Linked DNA regions of Stegostoma tigrinum. The protein of the gene in region 1 interacts with the protein of each later gene in a pairwise test. Links are inferred from orthologs where the notes say so. Each region holds a gene or a part of one and is shown in the gene's direction. Other genes may lie near its edges.

Evidence for each region. The genes of interacting proteins can lie anywhere in the genome.
Region 2: the proteins of rnf5 (region 1) and ube2wb interact in binary tests that used the Homo sapiens proteins (3 or more experiments, as listed by UniProt). The link is inferred for Stegostoma tigrinum from reciprocal best matches to the Homo sapiens genes RNF5 and UBE2W.

The regions. Positions count from the first base shown.
Region 1 is NC_081387.1:28,193,782-28,197,530, forward strand, and holds the start of rnf5 (E3 ubiquitin-protein ligase RNF5), read left to right. Parts: upstream 1-1,309; 5' UTR 1,310-1,342; coding exon 1,343-1,494; intron 1,495-3,749. UniProt on the Homo sapiens protein: Membrane-bound E3 ubiquitin-protein ligase that mediates ubiquitination of target proteins. May function together with E2 ubiquitin-conjugating enzymes UBE2D1/UBCH5A and UBE2D2/UBC4.
Region 2 is NC_081358.1:26,385,408-26,389,156, forward strand, and holds the start of ube2wb (probable ubiquitin-conjugating enzyme E2 W-B), read left to right. Parts: upstream 1-1,017; 5' UTR 1,018-1,047; coding exon 1,048-1,062; intron 1,063-2,122; coding exon 2,123-2,214; intron 2,215-3,749. UniProt on the Homo sapiens protein: Accepts ubiquitin from the E1 complex and catalyzes its covalent attachment to other proteins.

The DNA.
Region 1 (3,749 bases):
AAGTCCACATTGATACCATGTGGCTGCAGGGTTCCCAGGCGGAATATGAGTTGCTGTTCCTGCAACCTTCGGGTGGCATCATTGTGGCAGTGCAGGAGGCCCATGTTGGACATGTCATCTAAAGAATGGGGGGGGGGAGTGGAAATGGTTTGCGACTGGGAGGTGCAGTTGTTTGTTGCAAACTGAGCGGAGGTGTTCTGCAAAGCGGTCCCCAAGCCTCCGCTTGGTTTCCCCAATGTAGAGGTAGCCACACCGGGTACAGTGGATGCAGTATACCACATTGGCAGATGTGCAGGTGAACCTCTGCTTAATATGGAAAGTCATCTTGGGGCCTGGGATAGGGGTGAGGGAGGAGGTGTGGGGGCAAGTGTAGCGTTTCCTGCAGTTGCAGGGGAAGGTGCCGGGTGTCGTGGGGTTGGAGGGCAGTGTGGAGCAAACAAGGGAGTCACGGAGAGAGTGGTCTCTCCGGAAAACAGACAGGGGTGGGGATGGAAAAATGTCTTGGGTGGTGGGGTTGGATTGTAAATGGCGGAAGTGTCGGAGGATGATGCTGCTGCTGCTGCTGCTGGGTTCACCCAGCTCCACACCGTGTTACCTCAGTCCCGGAACCTGGGAGCTGGGCGGATCGCCGACCGGTGTCCTTCCCGCTGCCGTCAGAATTCCAACCAATCATTCACCGAGAGCTACGATCGACAACAATCCCAACCAATGGCAAGAAGAAAAATAAGAGGGCGGAAGGTGATGGACGGCTACATTGACCAATAAGATAGTGACCGACGGGGCTTGGTCCAATGGGAGTCGGGGTTTGTTGATTGACGACGTTTAAGTCAATTTGGAGCCGACGTCTATCGGTGACCCGCCCCGGGGCGGTATACCATCCAATGGGAGCCGGGGTCTAGCGACAACCGCTTCCGCCTGGCTGATTGACGGCGGTGTAGCCGAATCAGATGGCGAATAACGGCCATGTAGATTAATCAGACGATGATTGACAGCAGCCTGTTGAAGGGAGCTCATAGTCGAGGTGTGACCCGGTCCTGGCGCACACCATGACCGTAGCGATATCCAATGGGAGCCCGTAACTACCTTTCCCCGCCTCCCGAGACCTGATTGACTGGAATATGATCCAGTCATACATCGATATTGGCCGCGTGTTTGAAACGAACGTTGATTGACGACAATATGTCCAATGGGAACCGTGCATCCCGCGGCAGCTCCCGCCCAGAGCCAGTGATCGACGGCAGACCAGCCCAATAAATACCGCTGTCCGCGCTGGGTCCGCCCCTAAGAAGGCGGGCCGTTAGGAAGGGGGCGGGACCTGCGGTAGTGTGGTGTTTGTTCAGTCATGGCGGCCGCGGCTGAGGGCAGCGAGAGGGCGGCGGCGGCGGGAGAGGAGCGGCCGGGGCAGGCCCAGGCCGACAAGGGCAGCTTCGAGTGTAACATCTGCCTGGACACCGCCAGGGACGCGGTCATCAGCCTCTGCGGCCATTTATACTGGTCAGAGAGAGGGGGGGAGGACAGGGGTCTGGGGCTGTGTGGGTGGGGGGCGGGGGGGTGGCAGGGGGCTGTGTGGGTGGGGGGCGGGGGGGTGGCAGGGGGCTGTGTGGGTGGGGGGCGGGGGGTGGCAGGGGGCTGTGTGGGTGGGGGGCGGGGGGGTGGCAGGGGTCTGTGGGGGGCGGGGGGGGTGGCAGGGGTCTGTGGGGGGTGGGGGGGGTGGCAGGGGTCTGTGGGGGGTGGGGGGTGGGGGTGGGGGGTGGGGGGTGGGGGGGGTGGGGGTGGGGGGGGGGCGGGGGGGGTGGGGGGGTGGGGGCGGGGTGGGGGGTGGCGGGGGCCTGCGGGGGGGGGGCGGGGGGGCGGCGGGGTCTGCGGGGGGGCGGCGGGGGGCGGGGGTGGCGGCGGGGTCTGCGGGGGGGCGGCGGGGGGCGGGGTGGCGGCGGGGGTCTGCGGCGGGGTGGCGGGGGTCTGTGGGGGGTGGGGGGCGGGGGGGTGGCAGGGGTCTGTGGGGGGGTGGGGGGCGGGGGGGTGGCAGGGGTCTGTGGGGGGGTGGGGGCGTGTGGGTGGGGGGCGGGGGGGGCTGTGGGTGGGGGGCGGGGGGGCTGTGGCGGGGTGGGGGGCGTGTGGGTGGGGGGCGGGGGGGCTGTGGCGGGGTGGGGGGGCGTGTGGGTGGGGGGCGGGGGGCTGGTGGCGGGGTGGGGGGCGTGTGGGTGGGGGGCGGGGGGGCTGTGGCGTGGGAGGGGCGTGGGGGCTGTGTGGGGTGGGTGGGCGGGGGCGGGAGGGGCGTGGGGGCTGTGTGGGTGGGTGGGCGGGGGCGGCAGGGGCGTGGGGCTGTGTGGGTGGGTGGGCGGGGGGCGGCAGGGGCGTGGGGCTGTGTGGGTGGGTGGGCGGGGGCGGCAGGGGCGTGGGGGCTGTGTGGGTGGGGGGCGGGGGGGCAGAGGGCGTGGGGGCTGTGTGGGTGGGGGGCGGGGGGGCAGAGGCGTGGGTGCTGTGTGGGTGGGGGGCGGGGGGGCAGAGGCGTGGGAGGGGCGTGGGGGCTGTGTGGGTGGGTGGGGCGGGGGCGGCAGGGGCGTGGGAGGGGCGTGGGGGCTGTGTGGTGGGTGGGCGGGGGCGGCAGGGGCGTGGGGGCTGTGTGGTGGGGGGCGGGGGGGCAGAGGCGTGGGAGGGGCGTGGGGGCTGTGTGGGTGGGTGGGCGGGGGCGGCAGGGGCGTGGGGGCTGTGTGGGTGGGGGGCGGGGGGGCAGAGGCGTGGGAGGGGCGTGGGGGCTGTGTGGGTGGGTGGGCGGGGGCGGCAGGGGCGTGGGGGCTGTGTGGGTGGGGGGGCGGGGGGGGCGGCAAGGGGCGTGTGGGGCTGTGTGGGTGGGGGCGGGGGGGGGGCGGCAGGGGCGTGGGGGCTGTGTGGGTGGGGGGGCGGCAGGGTTGTGTGGGTGGGGGGCGGCAGGGGTCTGGGGGCTGTGTGGGTGGGGGGCGGGGGGCGGAGAGGTCTGGGGGCTGGGCGGGGGGGGCGGGCGGCGTCCGGGGGCTGTGTGGGCGGGGGTTGGGTGGCGGCGGGCGGCGTCCGGGGGCTGTGTGGGCGGGGGCGGGGGTTGGGTGGGGGGGGCGGGCGGCAGGGTGGCAATGGGTCGGGGGGGGTGGAGTCTGGGGGAGGGGTTTGTCTGGATCTCAGTGGGGGGAGGGGTGACTTGGGTTGTGGAGACGTCTGAGAGATGACAGTTTGTCTGGGACATGGGGTTGGGGGGCATTTTGTCCGGAACATGGGGTTGGAGGTGGGGCGACCGTGCCCGAGCCGTGGGGTTGGAGGGTGGCGGGGGTGGTGGGTACTGTGCTTGGCTGGTAACAGGGTGCCTGGGTCTTGCAGGGCCCTCAGGAACCGGTGTCGGAGTCTGTGCAGGTTTGGGGGCACCTCTAATGTGATAGATCCAGTGGGGAGCATCACCCACCACACTGTGCTGTTCTCAGCAACTTCTACCACTCCACCCTGTCCAGACCCCACTTGGGGATTTCTGTCAGATCTCCCAAAGAGAGCAGCCCCAACTTCCCCAACCTGTCCTCATCGCTGATGTTACCCATCCCTGGAACTATTGTTGTAAATTGTTTTTGTTCTGTCTCTGATGTATTCACATCTTCCTGGTGATGTGGGACAGCCAACTGAGGCCCTTGTTAATGATCAGCTTACCGCTGTAACTCGTCTCTTCCCCTGACCTCCCACTTTAACAATCTCTGCACGTACACACCAGGGCCCTCTGCTCCTGCGCTCAT
Region 2 (3,749 bases), on another chromosome or scaffold:
AATGGGCTTAAAAATCAACATGAGCAGAACAGTGCAGTCCTGATTCATACAAAATCACAGAACTAGAAAAGCATTCAGGAGCCTGAAATGTGGCAAAGCAACATGATATGATGACAACATTGCACCAGAATTCCTGTGCCTGCTGACTCAGCTCAACTAAATTCATGAATGAGTCGGGTATGGGAAAGATCATTCCACAGAACGGAAAAGATCTCAGATTGGAGATAATGGGAACTGCAGATGCTGGATAATCCGAGATAACAAAGTGTGGAGCTGGATGAACACAGCAGGCCAAGCAGCATTTTAGGAGCATAAAAGCTGACGTTTCGGGATCTCAGATTGGACAGCCAGTTATCAACCGACTTGTTTGTGTGCTTTAAGATCGAAAATATCTTTGATGTCGATTCTGTTTCTGCAGTGCGTGTCCAACTTTGCACATTCACCAACCACATGGAAAATGTCTTCCAAAGAACGTGAAGTCAGGCATAAGTGCTGCTGGACCGCACAGTTGCCCATAATACAGTGTAGCACAGCTGTCCAGAGTGTTTCCAACCTGGGTAATTTTCTTCGCAATAGACAATTTAGAGAAGTGCATGGAGAACACTGGCCAATGGGCTACTATAGGGGAGGGTGGTATGTATGTTGAAGATAGGAGTTGCATGGGTAAAGCAATAAGCGATGGGTGGAGATGGAGCCCACCTTTTCCAATCTAGCTGAGGAAAGCTCAGGGCTCTCTGGACCCAGAACATTAACTCTGCTTTCTCTCTGCCACACCTGCTGACTTTCTTCAGTAACTTCAGATTCCCAGCATCCGCAGGTCAACGTTTTATTTCGTGTTTTGACGCTCTTCCACCAACATCGCACGCCTCGGTGTCAGGCAATCACGGAGAAGTTCCCAACGGTCTCATGCCCGGGAAGCGCGCACGCCGTGACCACATTGCTTGAGAGAAACTGTGCGTGCCCGACCCCGCGTGCGTCATGACGCAATCCCGTTGAGCGGTGTCTCTGGCACGGAGGGGGGCGGGGGGAAAAGGGGGGGTTTCCATCATGGCGTCAATGCAGGTGAGTGTCTGATGTGTTCGGCGGCGCTTCAGTGGACGCCTTCTCTCTTTCCTGCTGGGGTGGCCGTGTCAGTTTCTCTCCGCATTCGAGGGAAGAGCCGGCCCTAAGACCTCCTCGGTATCTGCATCTCGTCTTTTCAGCTGGGGTTGGGGGGTTGGAGGGTCGGGGGGAGCGGATAAACGATGAAGCCGAGTGGAGCGGCCCGCGATTGTTTGTGTACGTTTTCACAAATTTGCGGGCTTCTTAAAACCGCGGCGGTGAAAAGTGCAGAGGGTTTTGGGCGCATTCCTAATGGAGTGGGATGTCGATCCCTGAGCCCTGGGTGGTGGTTGGGGTGACTTGGGCTCCATCTCTCCGCCTGCCCCTTGTTTCTTTCCATCCAGGTGATGGCAACAGCATCATCGCGCCCTGTGAAGGTTATAGGTGCCAGCGACACCTGTCGAGGCCCACCACAGGAACAGCAATGGGCTCAGGAGTCACCTCTGCCATCAGCAATCGTTATATGACTTGAGTTGGGCTTCTTCAATTTCAGAACCTTTAACTTTGCTCCTCGTTTCCACGTTCTCACCCCGATGTGTGCTTATCCTGTCGGGGATCAAGCCTGACCACTTGTTTAAATACACAGTACGTGGACTAACACCTCATCTGTGTACGCATCCTCCGTGGTAAAACTTGCATCAGTTCAGTAAATAAAGGCCGTCCATTTTTATTAATAGTTATCCACATCTTGAAAAATGTGATTGGCCGAGTTACTGCACTTTTTTTCGTGCATATATATGTAAAACTGTCAAGCTTGTATTAGCCCTGCAATTGTACTGATTAGCTGAGTTTGTGAAGGAAATAACTACAGTATTAATTTGGGAAGGTATGAAATTAGGCAAAAAATTTACACTTCAGAATTTTTACACAACTGCATTCAAATATGTCAATTTTAAAGTGAAAATCAATTGGAAGCAAACCTTCACAGAATTGGGGATAATTACAATTTGGAAAATTATACACCAGTTTACCTAATATTACAGTAACCCATTTTTTCTAACTGTTCTGTTTTCTCTAATAGAAAAGGTTACAGAAGGAGCTAATGGCTTTGCAAAATGACCCACCCCCAGGAATGACTTTAAATGAGAAGAGTGTACAAAATTCAATAACGCAGTATGTACTTTAATATTTTAATGTTAATTTTAAAATGTGAAAAGCCAGTATAAGGCAGGTAGAGTTTTTAAAATTACTGGCAGTTTTACTAGAATCAAAGATTATTTTCTAGTGTCATTGCTATTTAGTTATCAGGATATGGACAGGATTTGTGCGCTCTGTTAAACAACTTGTATTAGACAATAGACAATAGGTACTGGAGTAGGCTATTCGGCCCTTCGAGCCAGCACCACCATTCATTATGATCATGGCTGATCATCCACATGATTGCATTGTTTCTAAGAAGGTGTATTTCAGGTTACAAGATGATCGTTGGACTAATCATGTTTTGTAAATAAGTTGATGTAGTATGATTGTACAGTGTGTATATTTTAATGGAATTTGCTGGATGTATATCGTGTGGAGTAGTTTTTTTAAGGTGCATATAAATAATAGAAGTATAACAGCTCAAAAGCTAAGTTTGCAATAATAGCTTGTTTTAAGAATGTTGGCTTTGAATATATTACTGGAAATTTGAGGACACTACAAGAACTGGTGGATTGTTTCTGAATCTATTGTACTATGAGATATGACTGACACTTAAGTAGTTTTAATGTGGTGATTGTTTGTTTACTGAATTAGTTATATACTGTCAGTGTTTTTGCAGTATAATGAGCATTGTCTTATATCCTATGGTATACATTGCGTGTGTTTATCTTGACTTAGGGAGTTAACAATGTCTGACTATTAATAGCAGTAACTCTGAAATGTTTCTGTTCTTAATATTTGTACGTACCTTCATTGTTTAATTTTTCACAGTATCAAATAGTTTTGAATTGTATATATTTTCAGCGTAACAACTTATAAAGTCTCTGCATGTATGAACACACTTACTTATTTTACCTGGTTCCTCTGATGTCTGACCAGTTTCAGTTTCATACTTGCTGTATGTAATGAGTTGAATGTGTAAGTGAAATATACAGAATGATGCAATGGAATCATGTGTTTCTTTTAAAAAAAATTTGATTTGCAAGAAGATTAGTCCTGTAAATGATCGCTTGCAATATGTAGCATTGTGCAGGTTTATAGAATGTGTACTGCATTTAACTCAGTTAATTCACAACGAAAGGAATTGAATTATAATCTTGTTTATTAAGAAACTTTGTAGAAGTATGATGCATACATTTAATCTGAATGTTTAAATCTCCTCATACCTCACCCCACTTGCCCATCTCTCCTCACGCCAACCAATTGTCCATCTCTCCTCGTTTCTCCCCCCCCCCCCCCCCCCCCACTCGTCCATCTTCTGACACGTGTCGGCTCCACGCTTCCCACTGACCAACCACAATAACCCCTACTTGCATCACCACCATCAAAATCTCTCCATCCCCAACATTTTCATCTTCCTACTCACTAACTACCTGCATCCACCTATCTCCATCTCACCTAGCTTCCCTCCAGCCTTCCCCCACATTTTTTTCTGGCCTCCCTCCCCTGATGAAGGATTTCAGCCCAAAACATTGACTTTCCTGCTCCTGTAATGCTGTCTGACCTGT